Linked DNA regions of Macaca mulatta. The protein of the gene in region 5 interacts with the protein of the main gene of each other region in a biochemical or structural test. Links are inferred from orthologs where the notes say so. Each region holds a gene or a part of one and is shown on either strand. Other genes may lie near its edges. The genes, in order: KLF4, SNAI1, MAPK1, JUN, CREBBP, H3-4 and ATF4.

Region 1 (4,270 bases), on a different chromosome or scaffold from region 5:
GAACCTGGGAAGGTAACATTAAAAACCTAGTTTAAAAAAAAGCCATCATGCTTTTGCATAGCAAAGTATAATTTCTTGATTACAATGCCCAAGCTAGGAGAGGCCCACAGACCGCGGGGAATCTCTGCCTTTTAAAGGCCAAACAAAATTGCACATTCAAGCACAGATACCATCCATCAAGCAAAAGGCTAGGAAGAAAAGTAGGCGCCGGTTCGCTGTCCTCCCCAGTGATCCCAGAGATCAAGGTGATAGACTGCCCTGGGAAGCCAAGGAAGCACTGAGGAGTGTCCACTGGTAGCCCCATAGGGCTGGAAGCTAACCCCTTGCTTCCGCAGTTTGTCCCCCTACCTGTGTGGGTTCGCAGGTGTGCCTTGAGATGGGAACTCTTTGTGTAGGTTTTGCCGCAGCCCGCGTAATCACAAGTGTGGGTGGCCGTCCTTTTCCGGGGCCACGATCGTCTTCCCCTCTTTGGCTTGGGCTCCTCCGGCATGCAGGAACCGGGTGGCATGAGCTCTAGGGGTGGAGAAGGTGGGGTGAGCATCATCCCCTGTGCCCCAAGGGGCCAGCACACACAGAGCTCCCCAGCCCGAGCTATAAATCCCCGGGACTGACCTTGGTAATGGAGCGGCGGGACTTGAGGCTGCATCTGGTCGGGCAGGAAGGATGGGTAATTGGGCCCCGGGTGGGGATGGAAGCCGGGGGGAAGCGGCAGGGCAGGGTGACAGTCCCTGCTGCTTAGCACTTCCTCAAGACCCAGGGTCGGGGTAGTCCTGCTGGGGAGCTGCCGCCCCAGGGGGAAGTCGTGTGCAGCCGGCCGGTGGCCATTGCTGAGAGGGGGTCCAGCGCCCAAGTGGGTGCACGAGGAGACCGCCTCCTGCTTAATCTTGGGGCACGTTCGCGGCGGCCCACCGTTGTAGGGCGCCACCACCACCGGGTGGCTACCGTCAGGGCTGCCTTTGCTGACGCTGATGACCGACGGGCTGCCGTACTCGCTGCCAGGGGCGCTCAGCGACGCCTTCAGCACGAACTTGCCCATCAGCCCGCCACCTGGCGGCGGCGGCTGCTGCGGCGGAATGTACACCGGGTCCAATTCTGGCCGGAGGAGCTCGGCCACGAAGCCGCCCGAGGGGCTCACGTCGTTGATGTCCGCCAGGTTGAAGGGAGCCGTCGGAGGGGGAGCGGACTCCCTCCCATAGAGGAGGCCTCCGCCCGTGCCGCCCGGCGCCACGCCCGGGTCGCTCCCGGCCCGGATCGGATAGGTGAAGCTGCAGGTGGAGGGCGCGCTGGCAGGGCCGCTGCTCGACGGGGACGACGAGGAAGAGGCTGACGCTGACGAGGACACGGTGGCGGCCACTGACTCCGGAGGATGGGTCAGCGAATTGGAGAGGATAAAGTCCAGGTCCAGGAGATCGTTGAACTCCTCGGTCTCTCTCCGAGGTAGGGGCGCCAGGTTGCTACCGCCGCAAGCCGCACCGGCTACGCCGCTCTCCAAGTCTGTGGCCACGGTCGCCGCCGCCAGGTCATACGGGCGGCCGGGAAGCACCGGGGGAAGTCGCTTCATGTGGGAGAGCTCCTCCCGCCAGCGCTGAGGGGACAGGGCGGGAGAGGCCCGTCAGTGGTGGTCCCCTGTTGCCACCCGACATACCGACGTGCTGGCGGGCCACACGCAACTGCACCGCCCAGACATGGGGACTGGTCAGGCAGCAATCACCCGGGAACCCAGGGCGCCAGGGCTGCAATCTCGGCCCACACCCGGGTCGGAGAAGAGGTGATGCGTCTGTATCGCGGGCGTTATGTACTGTCTACCCAATTGCGTGTGAGCGAGCGCCACGGCTGGTCCCTCCCCCGCCAAGTCCCGTGGACGTCCCCGGAATTGGCACACCGAGGCTCTCTCGGTGCGCTCTAGCCACGGGGCCGCCTACGCGCTAAACTCACTCTGGCCCAGCCAGTGTCTGGGGATGCGGCCACCTCCCGCCTGGTGGCCTGCGCGCGCCCGCCCTACCGACAGGGCGCCCGGGGACTGGTGAAGACCCGGCTTGCGCCCCAGGCGGCTCCGCAGTGCTCGCACCACGGGCATGTACAGCTGAGCCAAGGGCACGGAAGCTAACCCGGGAAGGCTGCGGAGTCCGCGCGGTGGCCGCTCCTTACCCTCGTTCAGTGGCTTAGTGACCCCAGAGCTCCGCCCGCCCCCACCACACCCACGGAAACCCACCGGGCGTTCCCGGCGGCCCGGGGTGATACGATACTCACGTTATTCGGGGCACCTGCTTGACGCAGTGTCTTCTCCCTTCCCGCCGGGCCAGACGCGAACGTGGAGAAAGATGGGAGCAGCGCGTCGCTGACAGCCATGTCAGACTCGCCAGGTGGCTGCCTGCGAGCCGGGCAGGGCGCAGAGACAGAGTCAGGGGCGGCTTTCGGCCGTCGTTCCGGCGCGTCCCACCGGTCCTCACCCCTCCCTGCTCCCAGCGCCGCGCGCCTCACCTACCTCATTAATTCGGGGGCCCAGAAAGGTCCTCGGGAGCCCGAAGCAGCTGGGGCACCCGAACCCCAAAGTCAACGTAGAGAAGAAACGAAGCCAAAACCGAAAACCCCAAATTGGCCGAGATCCTTCTTCTTTGGATTAAATATAAATTGGAAGCGTCCTTTTTAAAAAGTTCCTTTGTATACAAAAGTTCTTGGAAAAGTTGTAAACTCAAAAACAGACAATCAGCAAGGCGAGTAAGTAGGTCCGGTGGCCGGGCTGCGCTCTCTTCCACTCAGCAGCGTCCCCCACCGCTGTCGCGGTCGCCTTGAGTGCTGCCGTGGGCGCAGGGGCTGTGGCCGGGGCGGTGGGCGGATGGTGCCGCCAGGTGAGACTGGCTGCGGTGGCGCGGAGCTGCGAACTGGTTGGCGGCGCAGGGCGCGGAGTCCGGGGAGTTGTGTGGAACGCGCGCGGCCATGGGCGCGGGCCACGGGCGGGTGCGAGGGTGGGGGGCCAGAGGGGCGGGGAGGGTCACTCGGCGGCTCCCGGTGCCGCCGCCGCCGCCCGCCACCGCCTCTGCTCCCCGCGCGCCCGCAGACACGTTCGCTCTCTCTGGTCGGGGAACTGCCGGCCGCCGGCGCGCGCTCCTTACTTATAACTTCCTTCGCTAACAGCCTTTTCCTCCGCCTTCTCCCATGCCCCGCCCCTCCCTTTCTTCTCTCCGCCCCCCCCGAGGCTCCCCTCCATCGTTGCTATGGCAGCTAAATCAACAAACTCGGCGCACGTGGGGGCGGGGGAGGGGAAGGAGGGGCGCGGGCGGGGCCGGGCCGGGCCGGGCCGTGACGCCAGCCGGGCAGCTGGCGGGCTGGAGCCGAGCTGACGCCGGCGGCAGTGGTGTCGGCGGCGGCGGCGTCCGCCCCAGAGCTGGGCGCGAGGAACCGGGCGCAGGTTCGGTCTCTGCGCGACCAGGGCAGTACTCACCGCCATTGTCGGCTCCGTGGGTTCGAAGCCCGCGAAGACTGGTGGGGTCAGCGGGCGGGACGGTCACGCGTCCCCACCCCTGCTCGCATACGCGCTTGCCGCGCTGTCTGCGCGCTGGAGAAGAGCGCGATTATCCGCGTGACTCATCCAGCCCTCGGTCTCCCCCTCCCTCCCTGCGCTCGCTGGAGTCCGCTCTCGCCGCGCAGCGCCAGTGCCCGTGCCGGCGCTCGGCCTGACCTCGCACGGTTCCTCGCGGTCCCTTCTGCCGAGGGGTGGGGGGCGCTAGGGGTGTGGAGAGGAAGCGGGTGCCCAGCACTGTGCAGCGTGAACTGGGAGCCTCAGGAGAAGGCCAGAGGAGTGTTCCGCCGGGAACAGGCAGAAAGAGGCAAGAGTGGGGAGTTATGGTTTTGATACTTTAAAAAGCGAGAAAGGGAATGAAAGGGCTCAAGATTTACTCAAAGGGGTGAGGGAGAGAAGAGGGACTGTGAGGCGCGGAGACACTTTTCAACCAGCCGTCTCGAAGCACTCTTTCTCTCTCTCTCTCTCTCTCTCTCTCTCTCTCTCTCTCTCTCTCTCCCCCCCCCCCTCTCTCCCTCTCCCCTTCTTTCTCTCTCTTTCTTTCTTCTTTCTCTTTCCTTTCTTTTTCTTTTTGGACACACTCGCTCTGTCACCCAGGCTGGAATGCAGTGGCACGATCTCAGCTCACTGCAACATCCTCCTCCTGGGTTCAAGCGATTCTCCTGCCTCAGCCTCCCGAGTAGCGGGGATTACAGGCGTGCTCTACGACCCCGGCTAATTTTTGTTGTTTTTCGTAGAGACGGAGTTTCT
Region 2 (3,993 bases), on a different chromosome or scaffold from region 5:
GAGGGTTTGAGCAGAGGAGGGGGTGCTCTGGCCTCACTCTGGCTTCCAGCAGAGGATCCTGATTGGAGCTAAATTGACACGGGAGGGAGAGTATTCCGCCTAATAACTGCTTCCTGCCTATGTCCTCCACCCTACTCCCCACTCTCCAGCTAGAAACAGGGGAAGACGATTTTGTTCACGGCTGTTACATCCGGCACCAAGTGACCAAAACAGACAGTAGTTCTGCCCTTCATGTTGCTGGTGGTGGTGTGGGGTGCTTATAGGTTTTTCTAGTCTTCCTTCACAGGTGGAAACAAGAACGGTGAGACCTGTGAGGTTTATTTCAGCGCTACTCCCGGGCCTGGTATGCCTCCCAGGGAAGCTGGGGTGGGGGTGCAGCTGCCCCTCACCTGGGCCCACCCCACATGCATTCAGTCAGGGCCCCTACAGAGCAACGTTAGAGCCTTTAGACACAGGATCGAGGATCTTCACAGGGGTGAGGAGACACGCCCGGCCCATCCCTTCTTTCTCCCGCCGGCCTACAAGGATCTTTTTCTACGAAACTCTAACCAGGTCCCTCGTCAGCTGAAAATCCTTCGGTGGCTCCCCAGTGCCTTTGAGGCAAAGTCCAACCTCCTACGAGGCCCTGGGGCACAGCACATCTGACCCTTCCGGGCCTGCCCACCCCACGCCATCCCTGAGAGCTGCTCTCTAGGAGTTACTCTGAAGCAGTTGCCACTTCTTCCCTCGGGCCTTTTCCCTTGATAATTCTTCACTTCCTCTGGGAAGTCACCCCGACCCCCTGTCAGGTGACCCGCCTCTTAACGGTCGCTGCGTCCCGTCTCTCCCCCGCCAAAGCACACTTCCCTTTGCATTGTAATTGTCTGTTTACTTCGTCTGTCTCCCCCACTGGACCGGGAGCTACCCTTCGGGAGAGGCCTTGAATGTCCTGTCCGGGGCTGTGCCCTGCCCCAGGTACAGCTGGGCCCTCCGCAAACACTGGCTAAGGGAAGGAACGGGCGCTCTTCGCTAGCTGGGCCAGGCTGCTTTGCAAAACGGCCGTAGCATTTCACGCCGCCAGGAGCCACGTGCGGTGTCCGTTTCCTCGCTTCCTCCCCAGCAATGTGCATTTCCCTCGTCAATGCCACGCTCTCCAGGCGCCAGCCGGGCGGAGGAAATTTCCGCCCCCTCCTAAGCCCGAGGCGGGGGCGGGCGTCGGAAGGTCAGGTGTCCCGGCCCGCGCGCAGCGCCAGGGGGCGTCAGAAGCGCTCCGACCACGGGGCGCTGAGCAGGTGGGCGCGCGGCGTTCTGGCGGGGTCCCACCTCGCAGGGGCCTCGCTTCGCTCGACGTCCCGCCCCGGACAGTCCGAGCACCACGGACGACCCGCGCTGCGCCTGCGAACTCCGCCTCGGAGGAGCCCCCGCCCGGGCTCCCAGCGCCACGCGGCGCGAGCCCGGCCAGCCCCCGGCGCACCTGCTCGGGGAGTGGCCTTCGGCGGAGACGGGCCTCCGATTGGCGCGGAGGTGACAAAGGGGCGTGGCAGATGAGGCCCCTCCCCTCCCACCCCCTTGGAGTATTTAAGGGAGTTGGCGGCGCGGCTGCTCTCATTGCGCCGCGGTCCGGCCTTGTGAGTGGTACGTTTGCGCTGCTCCTGCGCGACTCGGCGACCCCAGTGCCTCGGCCACCATGCCGCGCTCTTTCCTCGTCAGAAAGCCCTCCGACCCCAATCGGAAGCCTAACTACAGCGAGCTGCAGGACTCTAATCCAGGTGTGTTGGAGGGGTGGTGGGCTCCAGGAGGTTTGGGGGAGACAGGCGAAGGCTGCGTGGGGGCCACCTGAGGGAGGCGGCCTGTCTGAGCCAGGATCGAGTCACAGGGTGTTTTGTGGAGCATTGCGGGCTCGGGCTCGGGCTCGGGAGACCGGGCAGGTGGGTCCCCAGTCCTGGGGATCGGTCTGGGTGGTTGGGGGAGTGCTGTGTAGAGAGCAGGGGTTTTGTGCTTGGGTGGCCTGTGTAGCCGGCGAGAGGCGGAGGAGCTCCGCGAGAGTGGGAGAGGAGGCCTGTGTCAGGAAGGCCCTCTGGACGCTGCTGGGGAGAGTCCGGAGTCCAGAGGGTTGAGGGGAGGGGTGGGGAGACGAGATGTGTGTGAGGAGGGGGATTGGGGCAGGGTGGTGGCTCCAGGGCTGGGGTGATGGGGTTCTGGCCTCAGGCTGGGGACTTGGGACTTAGGAGAGGGAGATCTGGAAATGACCCCCTTCAACTGGGGGTCCTACCTGTGAGAGACTCAGATTGGGTGACCTGGGCCAGGAGGGCAGGAACCTGGTCTGTCCTGTGGATCATTTTTTTTATCTAATTATGTGTTGAGAATCAGCCCTACCCAGCCCCTGGCCAGCGGTGGGTTCATGTTTGTTGATTGAGTGAATGATTTAATTAACGCCTGACTCTGCTTTTTCTCTCTCAGAGTTTACCTTCCAGCAGCCCTACGACCAGGCCCACCTGCTGGCAGCCATCCCACCTCCAGAGATCCTCAATCCCACCGCCTCGCTGCCAATGCTCATCTGGGACTCTGTCCTGGCGCCCCAAGCCCAGCCAATTGCCTGGGCCTCCCTTCGGCCCCAGGAGAGTCCCAGGGCGGCAGAGCTGACCTCCCTGTCGGACGAGGACAGTGGGAAAGGCTCCCAGCCTCCCAGCCCACCCTCACCGGCTACTTCGTCCTTCTCCTCTACTTCAGCCTCTTCCTTGGAGGCTGAGGCCTATGCTGCCTTCCCAGGCTTGGGCCAAGTGCCCAAGCAGCTGGCCCAGCTCTCTGAGGCCAAGGATCTCCAGTCTCGAAAGGCCTTCAACTGCAAATACTGCAACAAGGAATACCTCAGCCTGGGTGCCCTCAAGATGCACATCCGAAGCCACACGCTGCCCTGCGTCTGCGGAACCTGCGGGAAGGCCTTCTCCAGGCCCTGGCTGCTACAAGGCCATGTCCGGACCCACACTGGTAAGTGCCCCTCCAGGCGCCCCCACCGTTGCTTTCTGTGGCAGCTTTGTGAATTGGGACTTGCTGTTCTCATTCGCAAAGTTGTGGACACTGAGGCCCCGAGTCTCCTAACTTCCAGCTCAAGTTCAGGGGCCTGCTCTCTGGAAATGTTTGGCAGAAACGTTCCTTCATCAGCTAAGCAGATGAGCAAAGCAGACACCTTCCCAATCCCTGCAGCCTGTTTCTCAGCCAAATGGGCTGGAGCTGGATATCGGAAAAGTGCAACCAACACCTTGCTCTGGGGGCCACAGGTGTGAAGGGGCCCACCCAGCCCCACCCTCTCCCGGTCCGCCCCCTCCCTAGCCAGACAGGATGTTGTCAGACCCCCCACCTGGCTCTGAATCCTTTGAGAACTTTCTCAAAGCTTAGGCTGATGTTTCACTTCTGTGAGCCTCATTTTCTCTATCTTTCAGATGGGCATGAGAACAGCTTGTGGGGTTTCTGTACGGGCTAAATGCAGGAATGCATATGGGAATCACCTGGCAAAGTGCCGGGTACCTGCTAAACTGTCACAAAAATGGTTCCTTGGCATTTGCTCTGCTTCCCTGCTGTGTGACTTTGGGCAAGCAACTTAACCTCTCTGAGACTCGGGAGAATTATGATGGCATATGTTTTAGAGAGTGGCTGTAGGCCGGGCGCGGTGGCTCAAGCCTGTAATCCCAGCACTTTGGGAGGCCGAGACGGGCGGATCACAAGGTCAGGAGATCGAGACCAGCCTGGCTAACATGGTGAAACCCCGTCTCTACTAAAAAAAATACAAAAAACTAGCCGGGTGAGGTGGCAGGCGCCTGTAGTCCCAGCTACTCGGGAGGCTGAGGCAGGAGAATGGCGTAGACCCGGGAGGCGGAGCTGAGATGCGGCCACTGCACTCCAGCCTGGGCGACAGAGTGAGACTCCGTCTCAAAAAAAAAAAAAAAAAAAAAAAGAGAGTGGCTGTAAAGGTGGCTAATCACTTTATAGTAATTTATTATACCCGAATAGTTCTCA
Region 3 (4,278 bases), on a different chromosome or scaffold from region 5:
ATCACTATTCAAATATTAGTGAATATTTCAACAAGCCCTCCATAAACCCAGCACTGCTAGCCAACATTTATTAAATGCTAATAACGTGCAATGGAGAAGGTTAACAGCAGGGTATGTCATCAACCTGATAAAAGGCTATAATCTGGATCTAGGATTCAAATTCCAATTATATTTGTATTTCACTTAGGAAAAGAAAATCACAAAAAGAGGACTTAGCATTTCAAATGGAGAGTCAGATGGTCAAATAAGCCTACAGCAGTGACAGAAGTGGTTCCCACATCTAAACAACTTCAGACTAGTAAAAATCTTATCAGACAGGAGAAATCTTATCAGATGGGGGTATCTTTTCAATTGACATGTCCTAAACGTAAAAGACTTTTTTCAGTCCACATTTTAGATAAGCTAATCTTGTTAAAAGGGCCAAAGGATGTGATGGGAAATTCTGAGCCTCTCATAATGAGACATGTTCACTGGCACGCTTCCCAGTGAGTGCAACAGCAATGAGATGTATGGTGGAGAAATAATGCTACTGGCAATACTTTCTCTTCATTACTTTTCAGGGCCTTATTTCTTTTAGGCTCGACCTAATTTAAATTCTCTCTTGGCTCCTAAGCCTGTGAGTTCATATTAATTTTCACAGTTGTATTCAGCATTTTGCTCCTAAAGAAAGTGAAAACATTAAAGATTCAATTAAAGTCTCTTTTAAAAGAATTTTAACTAATCTTTCTATCTAGCTACCATACTTGGTAAAACATGCCTTCTATGGCATTTCTAAAATTATGATGATTGAAATTTGAATACATTTCTGAAACAGACTTGTATTTACTTTGTAACAGTAAGATACAGAAAATTCTGCAAGTATTAATTACACTAAGGAACGCAGAGTGTTTTCCTAAAGACAGCTGAAAAGAGCTGCAGTGTGTCTAGTAGAATCTCAGTCTACAATCTTAATAACTCTAGTTCTATGACCTCAGGAATTGGCTTCACCTCGAAACACTTTCTCACCTGAAAAAAGGAATAACACCATCTTTTCCTCCCTCAATGTGGCTGTTCAAATAAAATGAAATAATATATGTAGCACAGTACCTGCCACGAAGTGCTCAATAAATTATTAGTTTACTTCCTTCAGTCAACACAAAAGACACATTCACAAGATTCAGATTTAAGGAAATCTATTTCCACAAGTCCTCACCAGCACAAAATGCTACCGCTAGTTTGCTTTAATAAAAACAATACCGTCAGCGGCGCGCGGTGGCTCACGCCTGTAATCCCAGCACTTTGGGAGGCCGAGACGGGCGGATCACTAGATCAATAGATCGAGACCATCCGGGTCAACATGGTGACACCCTGTCTCTACTAAAAAATACAAAAATTAGCCGGGCGTGGTGGCGCGCGCCTGCAGTCTCAGCTACTAGGGAGGCTGAGGCAAGAGAATCGCTTGAACCTAGGAGGCGGAGGTTGAAGTGAACAGAGATCGCGCCACTGCACTTCAGCCTGGGCAACAGAGCGAGACCCCGTCTCAAAAAAAAGAGAGAAAGAAAAACCGTCACTATCATTTCACTTTTCTAAGGGACCTGAATCAAGATGAGGGAGTCTACACGTGATTCTGCAATAACTCCATTAAGGCTGCATACATAATGACCACTAAATCATTAACAGGAGTCCATAGCAATTGGGCTAAAACATCTGGGAGCATTTATGCTGGTAAAAGAGCTCACTTGGGGGCTAAAAAAAAAGTCAAATTAGGCCCAACTCTAAATGGATCTTTAATAAATGAAGAGAGTAATGTTGGTTTATCCTTCCTGAAACGCTAGCAGTACGATATTAAAATCCACTTGAAAGTACAAACTTCAAGACGGAAATACTCCACCAACACTGGTGTCAGTAATCCATTTTAGAAAGCCTGCGCGGAGACCACCATTAGCACCGCTGAGGACAGTTAATGAAAGCCGTTGGCTGCAAACAGAGGCGAGGAGAGAAAAATTATTTCGGTGTTCTGCACACACACGGAGGCGAACCGCTTTCAGGACCTCAGCAGCCACCGCCGCCAACACCGACAAGCATCTGATGGAATTCCCGGTTTTACAATCGAAAGTCCAAAAGAAGGCCATGATACTAGCAAATTGGGGGGTGGAGGCGCTTCCGTTGCCTTCCCGAGGGTCCAGACTTTAAAGGCGGCGCTGCGCCCGGGGCCGAGGGTCCACTAGTCCCGGCCTCCGCCCCCCGCCCCCCACGCTGCGCCCCTTCCCGAGCGACCGCCGGCCCGGGAAGCGCGAGAGCAACACCACCTAAACCTCAACCGGCCCAGGGCCCCGCCCGAGCCCTGGCGCGCGGACCGCAGTGAAGTCCGGGTTCGAGGTCGCCGCGGCGCCCGAGGCCGAGGCGCCGGCGAGGCCGAGGCTGCGTCCGCTGCGGCCCCGGGCGGCGGGGGGGCCGGGCGTGGCCGGGCGCGGACACTCACCACACCATGCCGTAGGCACCCTCGCCGATGTACGAGAGGTTGGTGTAGCGCGGTCCCACGTCGAACACCTGCCCGCGGACCATCTCCGGGCCCGCGCCCGCCGCCGCCGCCGCCGCCATGTTGGCTGCCGGGCCGCCGCCGCCTCCGCCGCGCTGAGCTCGACGCTCGGCGGCCGCCGCTCAGCTTCTATCGCCCCTCCTGAAGGGACTGTGCCGCCGCCGGTGCAGCCGCCGCCGCTGACCGGGAGGAGGAAAGAAGACGCCGTGTGGCAGACCTGAAGAGCCCACGACAACTCGTACCGACTGCCTGCCTGCCTGCCAGACTGACGGGCGGGCCGGCGGGCGGGCGGAGGGAGGGGCGCGCGCCGAGAAGGGTGCCCGGGCGGGGCCAAGCAGCGTGCATGCGGATTGGTTCCTAGCGGCTGGGGGCGGGGCCGCGCGGCCCAGCGGAAGCGGCGGGCTCCGGGAGGGGTACTGCGCGGCGTTGACTAAGGGGGCACCAGCGGGCGCGGTCACGTGCGTTCGCGGGGGCGTCGGCGCGGGACTTGTCTCTTCAGACACCCAGGGAGACAGACGTGGGGCAGAACCCACGGGGCTGAAGTGAGAGATGGCAGGGGCCCGGGCGAGCACCCGAGGAAGTACCGAACAGAGCCAGCGAGGGACAAGGGGCTGTGCTTGAGGCCCGACGACGCGCCATAGCCCGGCCGCGCCACAGCTCAGGCCTCTGCGAATCCGTGGTCCACACGCTGATGAACTTAAGAGGCCTTGGCACTGGGGCAGAAACCGAAAGGCATGACCCCAGACCGAGAAAGATATTTGCATACTGAGAAAGTGTGAAACACAATTGTTGAGATTAAAAGGAGACAGAGAGGATACGCGAATCAGGTTGGTTCAGATGTTTGTTGAGCACACTCCATGTTCCTGGGAGTTACTTTTTAGAGAGAGACAGACAGACAAATACGTGTAATACTCAAGTTGTGATAAGTAGGATGAAGAAGTACAGAGCAGAAGGGAGGGTGCGGTGTCTCACGCCTGTCACTTTGGGAGGCCAAGGCGGGCGGATCACTTGAGATCAGGAGTTTGAGACCAGGTCTCTACTGAAAATACAAAAATTAAGTCCGGGCGAGGTGGCTCATGCCTGTAATCCCAGCACTTTGGGAAACTGAGGCGGGCGGATCACGAGATCAGGAGTTCAAAACCAGCCTGGCCAACATGGTAAAACCCCGTCTCTACTAAAAATATAAAATTTAACTGGGCGCGGTGGCGGGCGCCTGTTATCCCAGTTACTTGGGAGGCTGAGGCAGGAGGATGGCTTGAACACGGGAGGCGGAGGTTGCAGTGAGCTGAGATCGCCTCACTGCACTTCAGCCTGGGCGACAGAACAAGACTCCGTCTCGAAAACAAAATAATAATAATACAAAAATTAGCTTGGCGTGGTGGTGGGTGCCTGTAATCCCAGCTACACGGGAGGCTGAGGCAGGAGAATCGCTTGAACCCGGGAGGAGGAGGTTACGGTGAGCCACGCCACTGCACTCCAGGCTGGGCAACAGAGCAAGACTCCGTCTCCAAAAAAAAAAAAAAAGGAAAGAAAAGAAAAAAGAAATACAAAGCAGAGAGTAAGGGATTAGGGGTCAGTGGGTCGAAACACATGAGAGATACATTTGCGTTCGGAAACAGACCCAGATTGGTACAGATGGGCAGAAATATTGACAGCAGGTACTGAAATAGAAATGCAAAGATGAAGTCACTAAAACCAAAACATCGAGATTTAGAGATAAAGAGACAGACACACCAGACCCAGAAACAGTCACAAACAAC
Region 4 (4,163 bases), on a different chromosome or scaffold from region 5:
GCATTCCCGACTTCGGGATTCTTTCCACCACACACTTTCGTCCCTAAGGGGTGGGGGGCGGGGGGAAGATAAAATAACAACCGCGGAAAAGGAACCACTTACATGTGTCTAGCGCTTCCTAGAGGCTACTCAGGATATGGGCCCACCACCCGGCCGGGAAGGCGGAGATTTGAAGTCCAGGTTCTACCCCGGGCTCCTGAGTTCTACTGCGTTACTTTATGCGAGTGTCCCCCGCCTTCTGAGCTTGTTTTCCCGGAAGCAACTCGGCGCGGGTGGAGAGTGTGTGCGTGTGTGTGTGTGTGTGCGCGCGCGCATGTTGTGCGTGTTGTGTTAAGCGTGTGTGTGTTGTCCGGGGGCGGGAAGGGGAGTAGACTAACACCGGGGTTCCCCGAGTTTCGGATCGCCTACACGCTTGTTCCCATCTGGACCCTGTTACCCACTAATTGCGCCCACTATAAAAACTGCCCCTCGGAGGCAAAGCTGTGATCCCCCGCGCCCTTTCCCCCACGGTCCCGGAGGATGAAGTGGGGTGCAACGGAGACTCAGCTGAGCGTCCAGTTTTGGGCAATACAAATCTCTCAGCTTCTAAGAGCAGCCAGACAACCCCGCGGACCATCCCTCCTGAACTTGACCGAGATGCAAACTTCGCAGCGTTTCTCAACGTGGGGGGCCGACTCTCGGGAGACCGCCCCCAAACTTAAGCCCCCTTAGGCTCGCCCCCAACTGGGACTTCACAGAGCCACCTTAAGGGCGGCGCTCCCGCCCCCCGGAAGTGCGGGGGGGCGGCGGACCTGGACTCTCAGCCTCCCGCCCCGCGCGGTGGCGGACGCCGGTGGATGACTTCGAGCCCCACAAGTGGGGAAACACAACCACCCCTCGCCCGCACCCTTGACCCAAAACAACTGGCCGGGTTCCCTGGCCTCCCGGGTCCCCGCATCCCCTGCATCCCAGTCCGCAGCCGTGAACTTGAGCCCCCTCCGTCAGATGTTGCGAGCGTCCGCCCGCTCGCGGCAGCCACCGTCACTAGACAGTCAAACCCCAAGACGTCAGCCCACAATGCACCGGGCGGGCCGGGAAAAACGGCCCGGGGAGGGGACCGGGGAAGAGAGGGCCGAGAGGCGTGCGGCAGGGGGGAGGGTAGGAGAAAGAAGGGCCCGACTGTAGGAGGGCAGCGGAGCATTACCTCATCCCGTGAGCCTCCGCGGGCCCAGAGAAGAATCTTCTAGGGTGGAGTCTCCATGGTGACGGGCGGGCCCGCCCCCCTGAGAGCGACGCGAGCCAATGGGAAGGCCTTGGGGTGACATCATGGGCTATTTTTAGGGGTTGACTGGTAGCAGATAAGTGTTGAGCTCGAGCTGGATAAGGGCTCAGAGTTGCACTGAGTGTGGCTGAAGCAGCGAGGCGGGAGTGGAGGTGCGCGGACTCAGGCAGGCAGACAGACACAACCAGCCAGCCAGGACGGCAGTATAGTCCGAACTGCAAATCTTATTTTCTTTTCCACCGTCTCTCCAACTGCCCAGAGCTAGCGCCTGTGGCTCCCGGGCTGGTGTTACGAGGAGTGCCCAGAGAGCCTGGTCTCCAGCCGCCCCCAGGAGGAGAGCCCTGCTGCCCAGGCGCTGTTGACAGCGGTGGCGAGCAGCGGTACCCACGCGCCCGCCGGGGGAAGTCGGCGAGCGACTGCAGCAGCAAAGAACTTTCTCGGCCCGGAGGACCGGAGACAACTGGCCCAGAGTCCCGGAGCGAACTTTTGCAAGCCTTTCCTGCGTCTTAGGCTATTCGGCGGCGGTAAAGACCAGGAGGCGGCGGACAGCCACGCAAAAGAAGAAGGACGTGCGCTCAGCTTCGCTCGCACCGGTTGCTGAACTTGGGCGAGCGCGAGCCGCGGCTGCCGGGCGCCCCCTCCCCCTCGCAGCGGAGGAGGGGACAAGTCGTCGGAGTCTGGGCGGCCGAGACCCGCCGCTGGTCGGCCTCTGCGGGTCGGCACTGATCCGCGCCGCCGGGAGAGCCGCTGCTCTGGGAAGCGAGTTCGCCCGCGGACTCCAAGGAACGGCGGCGCCCGAAGAGCGCTCAGTGAGTGACCGCGACTTTTCAAAGCCGGGTAGCGCGCGCGCGAGTCGACAAGTAAGAGTGCGGGAGGCATCTTAATTAACCCTGCGCTCCCTGGAGCGAGCTGGTGAGGAGGGCGCAGCGGGGACGACAACCAGCGGGTGCGCGCGCTCTTAGAGAAACTTTCCCTGCCAAAGGCCCCGGGGGGCACGGGTGTCCCCCGCTTGCCAGAGCGCTGTTGCGGCCCCGAAACTTCAGCACGCAGCCCAAACTAACCTCACGTGAAGTGACGGACTGTTCTATGACTGCAAAGATGGAAACGACCTTCTATGATGATGCCCTCAACGCCTCGTTCCTCCCGTCCGAGAGCGGAGCTTATGGCTACAGTAACCCCAAGATCCTGAAACAGAGCATGACCCTGAACCTGGCCGACCCAGTGGGGAGCCTGAAGCCGCACCTCCGCGCCAAGAACTCGGACCTCCTCACCTCGCCCGACGTGGGGCTGCTCAAGCTGGCGTCGCCCGAGCTGGAGCGCCTGATAATCCAGTCCAGCAACGGGCACATCACCACCACGCCGACCCCCACCCAGTTCCTGTGCCCCAAGAACGTGACAGACGAGCAGGAGGGCTTCGCCGAGGGCTTCGTGCGCGCCCTGGCCGAACTGCACAGCCAGAACACGCTGCCCAGCGTCACGTCAGCGGCGCAGCCGGTCAGCGGGGCGGGCATGGTAGCTCCAGCGGTAGCCTCGGTGGCAGGGGGCAGCGGCAGCGGAGGCTTCAGCGCCAGCCTGCACAGCGAGCCGCCCGTCTACGCCAACCTCAGCAACTTCAACCCAGGCGCGCTGAGCAGCGGCGGCGGGGCGCCCTCCTACGGCGCGGCCGGCCTGGCCTTTCCCGCGCAACCCCAGCAGCAGCAGCCGCCGCCGCAGCCGCCGCACCACCTGCCCCAGCAGATGCCCGTGCAGCACCCGCGGCTGCAAGCCCTGAAGGAGGAGCCTCAGACAGTGCCCGAGATGCCTGGCGAGACGCCGCCCCTGTCCCCCATTGACATGGAGTCCCAGGAGCGGATCAAGGCGGAGAGGAAGCGTATGAGGAACCGCATTGCTGCCTCCAAGTGCCGAAAAAGGAAGCTGGAGAGAATCGCCCGGCTGGAGGAAAAAGTGAAAACCTTGAAAGCTCAGAACTCGGAGCTGGCGTCCACGGCCAACATGCTCAGGGAACAGGTGGCACAGCTTAAACAGAAAGTCATGAACCACGTTAACAGTGGGTGCCAACTCATGCTAACGCAGCAGTTGCAAACATTTTGAAGAGAGACTGTTGGGGGCTGAGGGGCAACGGAGAAAAAAAATAACACAGAGAGACAGACTTGAGAACTTGACAAGTTGCGACGGAGAGAAAAAAGAAGTGTCCGAGAACTAAAGCCAAGGGTATCCAAGTTGGACTGGGTTGCGTCCTGACGGCGCCCCCAGTGTGCACGAGTGGGAAGGACTTGGCGCGCCCTCCCTTGGCGTGGAGCCAGGGAGCGGCCGCCTGCGGGCTGCCCCGCTTTGCGGACGGGCTGTCCCCGCGCGGACGGAACGTTGGACTTTTCGTTAACATTGACCAAGAACTGCATGGACCTAACATTCGATCTCATTCAGTATTAAAGGGGGGAGGGGGAGGGGGTTACAAACTGCAATAGAGACTGTAGATTGCTTCTGTAGTACTCATTAAGAACACAAAGCGGGGGGGAGGGCTGGGGAGGGGCGGCAGGAGGGAGGTTTGTGAGAGCGAGGCTGAGCCTACAGATGAACTCTTTCTGGCCTGCCTTCGTTAACTGTGTATGTACATATATATATTTTTTAATTTGATGAAAGCTGATTACTGTCAATAAACAGCTTCATGCCTTTGTAAGTTATTTCTTGTTTGTTTGTTTGGGTGTCCTGCCCAGTGTTGTTTGTAAATAAGAGATTTGGAGCACTCTGAGTTTACCATTTGTAATAAAGTATATAATTTTTTTATGTTTTGTTTCTGAAAATTCCAGAAAGGATATTTAAGAAAATACAATAAACTATTGAAAAGTACTCCCCTAACCTCTTTTCTGCATCATCTATAGATACTAGCTATCTAGGTGGAGTT
Region 5 (3,500 bases):
ATAAATAAAACTTAAACTATGTTTAATCTATTATCTGCTCTACACTTACAATTAAAGAAAAAAAGGAAAACAGCATTCACCCCTCACCACCCCATTTAAACTATTTTCTGTGCCACACATTTAGAAAGAATCAGTTTTGTGTGGTTCTCAGTCCACGTTCTTGTTGGACTGTCACTCAGAACTGAAACAGGGTCTTACTTTGTGGCCCCCAAGGAAGTCGGAAGAGCTGATTCTGAAATCAAGTTTGGGGGCTGCTGATCTGTTGTTATTCCTCCTGCTGGAATGTTCATTGGATTATTTCCTTTAAAGACAGAAAGAAATCAATCAACTCTTAAATTTTAATATATACTTCAAAGTTTTGATGACAGATAACCAACATGTCATCACATAAACAATTGGTGATTATTTAAATAAGTGATTCTGGTCAGTTATAATAAGCACTGAGGCAGGAACCCCGAGTGTCATATTTTCAATAATGGTAATCAACGTGCACAAATAATCAGTAGACACCTCCCCACTCTACTTTGTAACCAAAGTAAGGTGTGTTTATGGAGATTAGCTGGTATCTAAGTGAAAAAGTTATAAATGATCCATATGCAGCCTCTGACTTTCATTCTGCTTCATTAGTATCACTCCTGAGTGACTCAGCTGCACTGACATATACCTCTGTGTCTCCACCCCCAATATCAGAAAATAAAATCATAGAAATTAAGCTCAGGAAAAAAATACAGAGGTCAATTTGTCTACAATCTTCATATTAAAGTAAAGGAAGGCCGAGATTAATAAAGGTTAAGTTTGTCCTAAATTATACCATCAACAGGAGAGGAGTTAGATTAAGACTTGGGTCTCAGGACTCTAACCCAGTCTCCTGGCCACTATTAGTTAGACATTCACTGGGGCAGTTGTTTTCCAAAAAGCAACAAATAAGATGACTTTAGCTGGGCATATTTTAAGGAATAATTGTTAACCGTAAAATACTTTATTAGGAAAAGAACAAAACTAGCACAGCCAGCCAGCCAGTCTGGACTTCACAGACATCACTGCTTAGCTTAAGCCTAGATGTAAAGGGACTGTGTCCACTTAAAGAAAAATATTAAGGAAACCATATGCAGAAATGGCAAAAATCATGGGTATGTGTGAGCAAATGACCAAAGGTGGGCAAATAATGGGCTGGGGTGACAAAAGAAATGCTGACATGTCCAGCAGCCTGGGAAAAGAGTTTCCAGGGCTCCTGTCATTAACCTGCCGAAGTCCAGGCTGGTCACTTCCAACTGTGGGGTAGACCCTAACCAAGATGTGTGAGGAAGTGGCAAACGCAAGTTCTCCATCAAATAAATGACAACAGTCAGCACGAGGGGTCCAGTCAGCATCCTGACTTGTGAGATCTGCATTCTGAGCCACATGGCACATTCTTTATGAAAACTGTCCAGAGAGAAGTGGCACAGCAAGCAACAAAAACATTGCTTCATTTGCAAATGCTGCTCTTTTTATAAGCATATAACATTTTCCTTGCATTAGACACTTCAGCTTTTTACTGGGAGATTTTTATTTCAACCACTGTAGTAAAAAACACAAAACAAACTGAAAACTGCCTTGGGTTCCATCACTCCATTCCCTTTGCTATATTTGGACAAGTAAGAATGAAGTTGAGAGTTTCTTCACCTACCCAGGGGGTTGAGAGTCCTCATCTGCTGGTGGGTTTGAGGCTGTGCTGGTTGCTGGCCAGGAACCTGAGGCTGCAGCTGCGTCTGGGGCTGGTTCATGTAGGGGAGTCCGAGAGCAGCATAGGCTCGCTGCATGGAGCTGGGGTCTATGGGATTTGGGTTACTTAAAGAAGTGGCATTCTGTTGCCCTGTGCCAACAGAACCAATTGTGTTTTGAATTCCACTAGCTGGAGACCCCAGGATGGCTATAACGACAAACAGACAGACAAACGAGAAAGGTAAGTAAAAGGGAGAAGCCCACAAATGATTTAAAAAACTACTGAGAAGCAAATACATTTCATCAAAATACTACACATGAATATCATAAAGCAGTAAAACAAGGCTAGGGAGAAAGGAACTGTGCTGAAGGACTCATGTATTCTGCCTAGCAGTAAGTGAGGAACAAAAAGTGAAAGAAAAGTGAAGTTTCTATCTTAGCAGGCAACAGATCATAAAATTTCACAGATAACACCTGAAAAAAATTAGTATGTTTTAAAACCTAGAGACTCCTCAAGAGGTCAGTTCCAGGGAGTGGCAAATGTATGACAAGGGAAACGTCTGATTCTCTGGTGGGCAGCAGACACCTTGAGATGAACAGAGGAGCACCCTCCTGCTGTTAACCCCAACCCTGTCCTTCACTGCTCACCTGCACAGGTACAGAGGGCTTAAGAGAAGGAGCAGAGATGATACCTCGTTGGTCAGTTTTGATTAATAAATCTATGATGTGCTCTTCTAAATCACATAATCGCAAGTCCTTGAAACTTACACAAGCAATGACAGCATGAACACATCCTTCTGACGGGATTCCTATGCAGCAGAGCACCATGCTGAGCTCTCTGGTTATATGAAGCTGTTTAAGAAATACTGAACTTGACTGATTGACTGATTTGTTTGAAATTAAGGTTGGAGTGAGGCTTCGCAATTCCGCATGGGTCTTGTTATCCGGGGCCACCTCAGCACCTCTGATATTCAGGAGGTGGCTCTGCCTCACATGGCCAACATCAGATTCTGCTACCCAGGCCCACTGCTGGCTGGCAGGGAAGCTGCCCCATTCAGCTAGCTAACCCCAGGAGACTAAAGGAAAAACTGGTGTCAACATAAGAAGCTCCATCCCAAAGGGCTTCCAAGGTAATGGAGAGACTACTCCAAACTTGCATCAACTTGCATCAACTTGGGCATTTCAAAGTCAATTCATCTACCCACCTACCTACCCACCTGTTTGCCTGCCCACTCATCCGTCCCAACAACCCAAATGTTGTGTGAAAATTTATCATATGGCAGAAGTTCTACATCATACTATTTATTCTTATTTTTGAGTTCCTTTCTAACTTCCACAAATTTTAGAGTCATGTTAAAAATAGCATCCTACAGTGTTGCTACTATAACACATCATTTTTTGATACATAAAACACGATCACAAAGCCTTTCTTTCAAATTCCAACCACTATGTGTAACAGTAATATTCTCACATTCAACCATCAGTGCACCTATAGTAACCCCAATACTTACCCAGAGCGACCTAATTAAACTAAAATGTGTGAAAAGAAAATTCCTGGTAATTATACATTCCATACTATTAACTTTTCTAATAAGGATACTCAGATCAACTCATTAACACTCATCAGACACAATTACACACACCAAGCACTCATTATCATAAATGAAAAGCAACTCCCAAGGTGCACTTTATGACAAGTGTGTAGCTGAAGTAAGTCATGCACAATACCTTGAAAAGTATTCTAATACTTACTACTCCCCAAAACTTTAAACATGTGTCCACCATACTTCTGAAACTGA
Region 6 (3,617 bases), on a different chromosome or scaffold from region 5:
CCCCTAGCCAGCCTTCTAACCTAATGGGAGATAGCCCAAGTTAACAAGATATACAACTAGCCAGCTTTCTAAATTAACAGGAGGTAGGCTGAGTTAACACACACAAGTAGCTGGACTTTGTTTTTTTTTTTTTTTTTTTTTTTGGTTTTGAGACTGAGTCTCGCTCTGTTGCCCATGCTGGAGTGCAGTGGCATGATCTTGGCTCACTGCAACATCTGTCTCCTGGGTTCAAGCAGTTCTCCTGCCTCAGCCTCCCAAGTAGCTGGGATTACGGGCATGTGCCACCACACCTGGCTAATTTTTGTCTTTTTAGTAGAGATGGGGTTTCACCATGTTGGCCAGGCAGGTCTGGAACTCCTGACCTCAGGTGATCCACCCGCCTTGGCCTCCCAAAGTGCTGGGATTACAGACCTGAGCTGCCACGCTGGTGAAGTAGCTGGACTTCTAACTGAAAATAGGCCAAGATAACACATACTACTTGCTGGCCTTAACAGGCTGTCTAGGTAGGAGACTAGCTGGACTGGTAACCTCACTGGAAAGAAGCTGTGTGTACACACACACACACACACGCAGGACTTGTAACAGTTTGAAAGAGGCTGAGCTGAGAACACACAAGACCAGCCAGCCTTCCAACCTAACTGTAGATAGGCTGAGTTGACACAACTAGCTGGGGTTGCTTACCTAACTGCAGATAGGCCAGTTACGCTACCCTCAACACCCCGTCCCCAAACAGACCAACCATGATTCTTATCTAAAGGGATAGACCAAGTTAGCACCACACACGACTAGCTGGACTTGTAACTGGAGACAGGCTGGGAGGTAACGCGCATGAGTAGCTGGCCTCCTAACTGGACAGGGTGAACACAGGATTCGCCAGCCTCCCACCCTAATCAGAATTAGGTAAGCCAGCACCGGCCAGCGGAAGGAACCCCCAAAACCCAAGAGCCTGGCTTGCTACAGCAACTCTTCCGACCAGGTGGGTGGCTCTTAAAAGAGCCTTTGGGGTGAACGTTGCGCAACCTCTCAGGTGGCGAGATGGCCCTCCTAGGCCCGCTCCCCACGGATACGGCGTGCCAGCTGGATGTCCTTGGGCATGATGGTGACCCGTTTGGCGTGGATGGCACACAGGTTGGTGTCCTCGAACAGCCCAACCAGGTAAGACTCGCACGCCTCCTGCAGCGCCATCACGGCCGAGCTCTGGAAGCGCAGGTCGGTCTTAAAGTCCTGAGCGATCTCGCGCACCAGCCGCTGGAAGGGCAGCTTGCGGATTAGCAGCTCAGTGGACTTCTGGTAGCGGCGGATCTCGCGAAGCGCCACTGTGCCAGGTCGGTAGCGGTGCGGCTTCTTCACGCCGCCAGTGGCGGGTGCGCTCTTGCGAGCCACCTTAGTGGCCAGCTGCTTGCGTGGCGCCTTGCCACCCGTCGACTTGCGCGCAGTCTGCTTGGTTCGGGCCATGAATTTGAAACTGTTGTCTCTGCTGTGTCCTCTGACCAGACCTAAGCTGATTGCCCGCTTTTATAGAGCTTGCCGCGTTTTCATTGGCTGGCCTCAGGTGGCGTGATGGCCCCCTACTCTCTGATTGGTCCACAGGGCACGCCACTCGGCCGCCTCTCCCTTATATTAGTGCTTGTTGGTCGTGGCCACCAGAGCTAGCACCAGCATTGTGAAGGGTTGATGCGGGTAGGCCACGGCGGTGGAGATCATCTCTCTCCAGCACAAGCTTCCTCGTGTCTCCTCAGCAATCCTCTTCTCCCTTCCTCATGACTTGGGTGGGAAGAGCCTTCCGAAAGCCAGCATGCGGCATTCCACTTTTTTTAAAAATTAATTTTAAAAAAATTTTTTGAGATGGAGTTTAACTCTTGTTGCCCAGGCTGGAGTGCAATGGCGCGATCTCTGCTCACTGCAACCTCTACCTCCCAGGTTCAAGCGATTCTTCTGCCTCAGCCTACCAAGTAACTGGGATTACAGGGATTACAGGTATCCACCACAAAGAGATGGGTTTTCACCATATTGGCCAGGCTGGTCTCAAACTCCTGACCTCAGGTGATCCACCTGCCTCGGCCTCCCAAAGTGCTGGGATTACAGGCATGAGCCACCAGGCCCAGCTGGCATTCCACTTTTTTTTTTTTTTTTTGAGACGGAGTCTCGCTCTGTTACCCAGGCTGGAGTGCAGTGGCGCAATCCCGGCTCACTGCAAGCTCCGCCTCCAGGGTTCAGGCAATTCTCCTGCCTCAGCCTCCCAAATAGCTGGGACTACAGGCGCCCACCACCACACCCGGCTAATTTTGTTTTGTATTTTTAGTAGAGACAGGGTTTCACCATGTTAGCCAGGATGATCTCGATCTCCTGACCTCGTGATCCACCTGCCTCAGCCTCCCAAAATGCTGGGATTACAGGCGTGAGCCACCGCGCCCAGCCGGCATTCCACTTTTACACAGTGATACAGCTCTGGGATCCAACCAGAGTTAAAGGAGTCTTCCACTTTTTATGACCTGCAAAGAACTCCCTTTGCTGTATGGCTCAGATGAGCCTTAGGATGCTGAAGAAGGTAAAGATATGCCTTTCTGGCATATTAACTCTTTTGAGATAAAGGCACTTAAAAAAAAAAAAAAAAAAAAAAAGAGGCAGGTGTAGGAAGATCATTCTGAATTTCTTGTTGTTTCTTAAAGGCAAGAAATAGAATTCCCCTATGAAAGATGTTCTCCTTATAGTAAAAGGAAGGGAACGTTCTTATCATCAAGGACCAGAAGGTGGAAGCTTCCAAATCTCCTCCAACTCTGAAGCTGAAATTTGATCCCTAAAGTTGGAGCCGGGGCTCAGTGGGAGGTGTGTGGGTCCTGGAGGTGTCACCCTCTGAATAGAGTCCTGCCCTCCTTTAGGGTGAGTTCTCACTCTGTTGGTTCCCTGAAGAGCTGGTTGTTGAAAAGAGCCTGGCACTCCCCTCCCCTCTCTTTCTGGCTTCCTCTCTTGTGCAGTCCTGTGACCTCTGCACACACATGGGTTCCCCTTCACCTTCCACCATGAGCAGAAGCAGCCAGAGGCCCTCACCAGAAGCAGAGGTGGGCCCTATACTTGCTTCCTTCCATTCTCCCTCCCTCCCTTCCTTTCTCTCTCCCTCCCTCCCTTCTTCGCTCCCTTTCTTCCTTCCTTCCTTTCCTTTCTTTTTATCTTCTTCCCTCCCCTCCCCTCCTCTCTTTCTTTTTTCAGTCTTGCTCTGTTGCCCAGGCCCCTCCTACCTCAGCCTCCCAAGTAGCTGGGACCACATCCAGCTAATTTTTAAATTTTTTGGAGAGATGGGCTGTCATTATGTTGACCAAGCTGGTCTTGAATTCCTGAGTTCAACTGATCCCCCGACCTTGGCCTCCCAAAGTGCTAGGATTACAGGCTTGAGCCACCATGCTGGGCCACCGTGCTTTTTTTGTTTTTTTGACCTGAGTCTCACCCTGTTGCCCAGGCTGGAGTGCAGTGGTGTGATCTCAGCCCACTACAACGTCCGCCTCCCGGGAAGTTCAAGCAACTCTCCTGCCTCAGCCTCCCGAGTAGCTGGGATTACAGGCGTGAGCCACTGCACCCAGCCACCGTGCTTCTTGTACAGCCTGGGAAACCATAAGCCAATA
Region 7 (3,873 bases), on a different chromosome or scaffold from region 5:
GGACGATGCGGAGGTTTCCTGTATTAAAACAGACTACCCCCCCTTCCCAACGCACAACCCCGAGCACGTGGCCGTGGGTTCCCAAGCGCCTCTCCTCCCAGGGCCATGGGCATGACCACCGAAAAGCGGGTTAGGCCGGGGAGTTCAGAACCCGGAGTGAATCGAAACTACCCCAGGTAGATGGCAGCGAAGAAAATTCTGTTCTTAGGGGAACGCAATCTTCGGACACCAGAAGTTCCCCTATGATGCTATTCTGTGGCAGCCTCGCACTTGAGCCGGATGAGAATTGTAAAAACCCAGGTTGGGAGACAGGACGGCGCGTCTTCCCGGCTCCTTTCCAGAGTTTAGACGGAGCCATGCAGACTCAGCTGGCCTTTGGGTGTAGGTGGGCAGGCCCGAGGCGCCCTCTCGAGACCCCTTCAACCTCCCGGGGGCAGCAACACCGTATCGGCTATGAATGGCGTCTCTGGAAAACTCAGGCTTGGAACAGGTAACCCCCCGGTTTCCGCAGGCCAGAAATCAGCCCCCGCAACCGAAGGACGCGCAGGCTGGGAGTGGCGGCGGGGCCGCCAGTGGCGGACCTCCACTGAGGGCGGCGGGACCCGACCGCAGGGGCTGGGCCCTGAGGCCACTATGGGGTGCGCTAGGCTAAGGTCTCCTGGGGGCAGGAGCCAGTGCGATTGTAGCTGGCCAGCAGGCTGGCCGGCCTGAGGCCTGGCAGAGACCCGAGACCCCGACCCTTACCACGCGGACTCCGTGATCCCTCTCCCAGCAGCCGCCCACCTGGGGCCCTGAGCCAATAAGAGCTCGAGGTATATATGACTCACCGTGCCTGGGCCAATCAACTTGACGCGCGCTCTTCGCCAGCACCTCGCGCGATAACCTGGCTTCCTCGGCCTTCACAATAAAAACTCTCCGCCGGAAAACGACCTCTCCCCGCCCACCGCGCCGACACCGGAAGCGAGGCGTGTCTGCGAGATCACTCCGCGCTCCGGCGGCGAAGGAAAGAACGGACTCTGATCATAGAAGTCTAGTAAAGTAGTGCACCTCTCTCGTTTCGTGAGGTCATAAGAACAAACACCTTTTCTCGTCACAGCTACGCGCTGGGCATAAACGGTTGGGGCGTCAAAGGGAGGGAAACGAGCGGGCGGGAGGAGATGGTCACGTGGCCGTGGCGGAAGGATGCGTCGGTGCTGCGTCCCCTTAGAGACGAAGTCTATAAAGGGCCGGCGGGCGGCTGCTGCGGCCATTTCTACTTCGTCCGCCCACAAATGTAGTTTGGTTTGCACGTGTGCGCCTTCCCTCCTCCCCGCCCGCAGGGTCCACGGCCACCATGGCGTATTAGGGGCAGCAGTGCCTGCGGCAGCATTGGCCTTTGCAGCGGCGGCAGCAGCACCAGGCTCTGCAGCGGCACCCCCCCCAGCGGCTTAAGCCATGGCGTGAGTACCAGGGCGGGTCGTCCAGCTGTGCTCCCTGGGCCGGCGCAGGATTTGGGTTGGTGGGGTGCGGCCTGGGGCCGGGGCGGTGCCGCCAAGGAGGAAGCGATTTTACGAGCGCCCGGGACGCGTGGTCTTTGCTTGGGTGTCCCCGAGACGCTCGCGTGCCCGGGATCGGGAAGGCGCATTCTGGTGCCAGGACTGCTTCCACAGGGGCCCTGCCGCCCTCGGACCCCGAGTCCCCCAAGGGTCCCAGGGGTCTCGGCTTTCCCCCCCGCGAAACGTGGCAAGAACCAAGATGGCGGCGGCAGGGCGGCGCCGCGGGCGTGAGTCAAGGGCGGGCGGTGGGCGGGGCGCGGCCGCCCTGGCCTTATTTGGACGCGGGGACGGAGCGCCTTCCTCTTGGTGGCCGGTGGAAGAATCGCCTGGTCTCCGTGAGCGTCCATTTTGTGGAACCTGAGCCGCAGCAGGGAGGGGCGGATGCAACTGCCCCGTTGCCGACTCTATAGATGGCTGGACTAGAGAAGTCCCGCCTCGTAAGTGGAAAGATGAAATTCTCAGACCAGCTAACCTCTAATGGGAGTTGGCTTCTGATTCCCATTCAGGCTTCTCACGGCATTCAGCAGCAGCGTTGCTGTAACCGACAAAGACATCTTCGAATTAAGCACATTCCTCGATTCCAGCAAAGCACCGCAACATGACCGAAATGAGCTTCCTGAGCAGCGAGGTGTTGGTGGGGGACTTGATGTCCCCCTTCGACCAGTCGGGTTTGGGGGCTGAAGAAAGCCTAGGTCTCTTAGATGACTACCTGGAGGTGGCCAAGCACTTCAAACCTCATGGGTTCTCCAGCGACAAGGCTAAGGCGGGCTCCTCCGAATGGCTGGCTGTGGATGGGTTGGTCAGTCCCTCCAACAACGGCAAGGGTGAGTGGGCCACCACCACATCGTCTGGGTGGGATCTAGGGTTAGGGGCCTGTTATCTTTGTATCTGACTCACTTGGCCCTGTCATTCAAATCTTTTGCAGAGGATGCCTTCTCCGGGACAGATTGGATGTTGGAGAAAATGGATTTGAAGGAGTTCGACTTTGATGCCCTGTTGGGTATAGATGACCTGGAAACCATGCCAGATGACCTTTTGACCACGTTGGATGACACGTGTGATCTCTTTGCCCCCCTAGTCCAGGAGACTAACAAGGAGCCCCCACAGACGGTGAACCCAATTGGCCATCTCCCAGAAAGTTTAACAAAACCCGACCAGGTTGCCCCCTTCACCTTCTTGCAACCTCTTCCCCTTTCCCCAGGGGTCCTGTCCTCCACTCCAGATCATTCCTTTAGTTTAGAGCTGGGCAGTGAAGTGGATATCACTGAAGGAGATAGGAAGCCAGATGCCACTGCTTATGTTGCCATGATCCCTCCGTGCATAAAGGAGGAAGACACCCCCTCAGATAATGATAGTGGCATCTGTATGAGCCCGGAGTCCTATCTGGGCTCTCCTCAGCATAGCCCGTCTACCAGGGGCTCTCCAAATAGGAGCCTCCCATCTCCAGGTGTTCTCTGTGGCTCTGCCCGCCCCAAACCTTACGACCCTCCTGGAGAGAAGATGGTAGAAGCAAAAGTAAAGGGTGAGAAACTGGATAAGAAGCTGAAAAAAATGGAGCAAAACAAGACAGCAGCCACTAGGTACCGCCAGAAGAAGAGGGCGGAGCAGGAGGCCCTCACTGGCGAGTGCAAAGAGCTGGAAAAGAAGAATGAGGCTTTAAAAGAGAGGGCGGATTCCCTGGCCAAGGAGATCCAGTACCTGAAAGATTTGATAGAAGAGGTCCGCAAGGCAAGGGGGAAGAAAAGGGTCCCCTAGTTGAGGGTAGTCAGGAGCGTCAGTGTGCTTGTACATAGAGTCTCTGCTGTTGCTGTGTGTTGGAATAAATTATTTTGTAGGGAAAGTACTTGTGTGAATTCCTTTTCTGGCAAATTAGCCGAGTGAGGCGCCAACCACGCATCCCAAACTGGTTATAACATTCCTTGTGAGATCTGGGGAGGAGGGCAGTCCAGGACTGAAGATGGGTACCCAGAGTGGGAACTGCTCGCCCTGCTAGGTGTAAGCCACGATGTCTGATGACTCATGGGGCCATACAGCCGGATAGTTGGCCAACTGTAGCAAGTTGGGTCCTTTACCCAGAGGTGAGTTCGCTGGTTGTGTAGGGAGGAGGCTGGAGCTCTCTGAGAGGTTGGGAGGGAGGGACAGCCTGGGCCTCTTACCTATTTATTCAAGAGGGCTTCATGCCAACAGCTGTCGCCTGAAACCCTGGATAAGCTTGCACAGTCCTTGAGATAAGCACACAAGATTAGTTTTCACTTGTTACCCTGAGTTCTGTAGAAACGTGTTCCTGAAGAAAGAAATGGCTCCTTTTCGGAATTGATGCTGAAGCAGGACAGGAGCT

What was found.
Region 1: the proteins of CREBBP (region 5) and KLF4 form a complex in vitro, tested with the Homo sapiens proteins (2 studies listed by BioGRID, with this or other methods). The link is inferred for Macaca mulatta from reciprocal best matches to the Homo sapiens genes CREBBP and KLF4.
Region 2: the proteins of CREBBP (region 5) and SNAI1 form a complex in vitro, tested with the Homo sapiens proteins (2 studies listed by BioGRID, with this or other methods). The link is inferred for Macaca mulatta from reciprocal best matches to the Homo sapiens genes CREBBP and SNAI1.
Region 3: of the proteins of CREBBP (region 5) and MAPK1, one has a biochemical effect on the other in vitro, tested with the Homo sapiens proteins (2 studies listed by BioGRID). The link is inferred for Macaca mulatta from reciprocal best matches to the Homo sapiens genes CREBBP and MAPK1.
Region 4: the proteins of CREBBP (region 5) and JUN form a complex in vitro, tested with the Homo sapiens proteins (4 studies listed by BioGRID, with this or other methods). The link is inferred for Macaca mulatta from reciprocal best matches to the Homo sapiens genes CREBBP and JUN.
Region 6: of the proteins of CREBBP (region 5) and H3-4, one has a biochemical effect on the other in vitro, tested with the Homo sapiens proteins (2 studies listed by BioGRID). The link is inferred for Macaca mulatta from reciprocal best matches to the Homo sapiens genes CREBBP and H3-4.
Region 7: the proteins of CREBBP (region 5) and ATF4 form a complex in vitro, tested with the Homo sapiens proteins (2 studies listed by BioGRID). The link is inferred for Macaca mulatta from reciprocal best matches to the Homo sapiens genes CREBBP and ATF4.

What each region holds. Positions count from the first base shown.
Region 1 is NC_133420.1:50,899,392-50,903,661, reverse strand, and holds the start of KLF4 (Krueppel-like factor 4), read right to left. Parts: upstream 2,801-4,270; 5' UTR 2,491-2,800; coding exon 2,486-2,490; intron 2,372-2,485; coding exon 2,251-2,371; intron 1,586-2,250; coding exon 613-1,585; coding exon of another isoform or gene 514-612; coding exon 349-513; intron 1-348. UniProt on the Homo sapiens protein: Transcription factor; can act both as activator and as repressor. Binds the 5'-CACCC-3' core sequence. Binds to the promoter region of its own gene and can activate its own transcription.
Region 2 is NC_133415.1:102,823,108-102,827,100, forward strand, and holds the start of SNAI1 (zinc finger protein SNAI1), read left to right. Parts: upstream 1-1,193; 5' UTR 1,194-1,666; coding exon 1,667-1,748; intron 1,749-2,439; coding exon 2,440-2,967; intron 2,968-3,993. UniProt on the Homo sapiens protein: Involved in induction of the epithelial to mesenchymal transition (EMT), formation and maintenance of embryonic mesoderm, growth arrest, survival and cell migration.
Region 3 is NC_133415.1:31,122,609-31,126,886, reverse strand, and holds the start of MAPK1 (mitogen-activated protein kinase 1), read right to left. Parts: upstream 2,801-4,278; 5' UTR 2,581-2,800; coding exon 2,462-2,580; intron 1-2,461. UniProt on the Homo sapiens protein: Serine/threonine kinase which acts as an essential component of the MAP kinase signal transduction pathway. MAPK1/ERK2 and MAPK3/ERK1 are the 2 MAPKs which play an important role in the MAPK/ERK cascade.
Region 4 is NC_133406.1:181,864,933-181,869,095, forward strand, and holds JUN (transcription factor Jun), read left to right. Parts: upstream 1-1,363; 5' UTR 1,364-2,347; coding exon 2,348-3,352; 3' UTR 3,353-3,680; downstream 3,681-4,163. UniProt on the Homo sapiens protein: Transcription factor that recognizes and binds to the AP-1 consensus motif 5'-TGA[GC]TCA-3'.
Region 5 is NC_133425.1:5,006,099-5,009,598, forward strand, and holds part of CREBBP (CREB-binding protein), read right to left. Parts: intron 1,910-3,500; coding exon 1,667-1,909; intron 302-1,666; coding exon 199-301; intron 1-198. UniProt on the Homo sapiens protein: Acetylates histones, giving a specific tag for transcriptional activation. Mediates acetylation of histone H3 at 'Lys-18' and 'Lys-27' (H3K18ac and H3K27ac, respectively).
Region 6 is NC_133406.1:86,178,103-86,181,719, forward strand, and holds H3-4 (histone H3.1), read right to left. Parts: upstream 2,170-3,617; 5' UTR 1,456-2,169; coding exon 1,045-1,455; 3' UTR 501-1,044; downstream 1-500. UniProt on the Homo sapiens protein: Core component of nucleosome. Nucleosomes wrap and compact DNA into chromatin, limiting DNA accessibility to the cellular machineries which require DNA as a template.
Region 7 is NC_133415.1:12,021,357-12,025,229, reverse strand, and holds ATF4 (cyclic AMP-dependent transcription factor ATF-4), read left to right. Parts: upstream 1-1,459; 5' UTR 1,460-2,133; coding exon 2,134-2,359; intron 2,360-2,460; coding exon 2,461-3,290; 3' UTR 3,291-3,373; downstream 3,374-3,873. UniProt on the Homo sapiens protein: Transcription factor that binds the cAMP response element (CRE) (consensus: 5'-GTGACGT[AC][AG]-3') and displays two biological functions, as regulator of metabolic and redox processes under normal cellular conditions, and as master transcription factor during integrated stress response (ISR).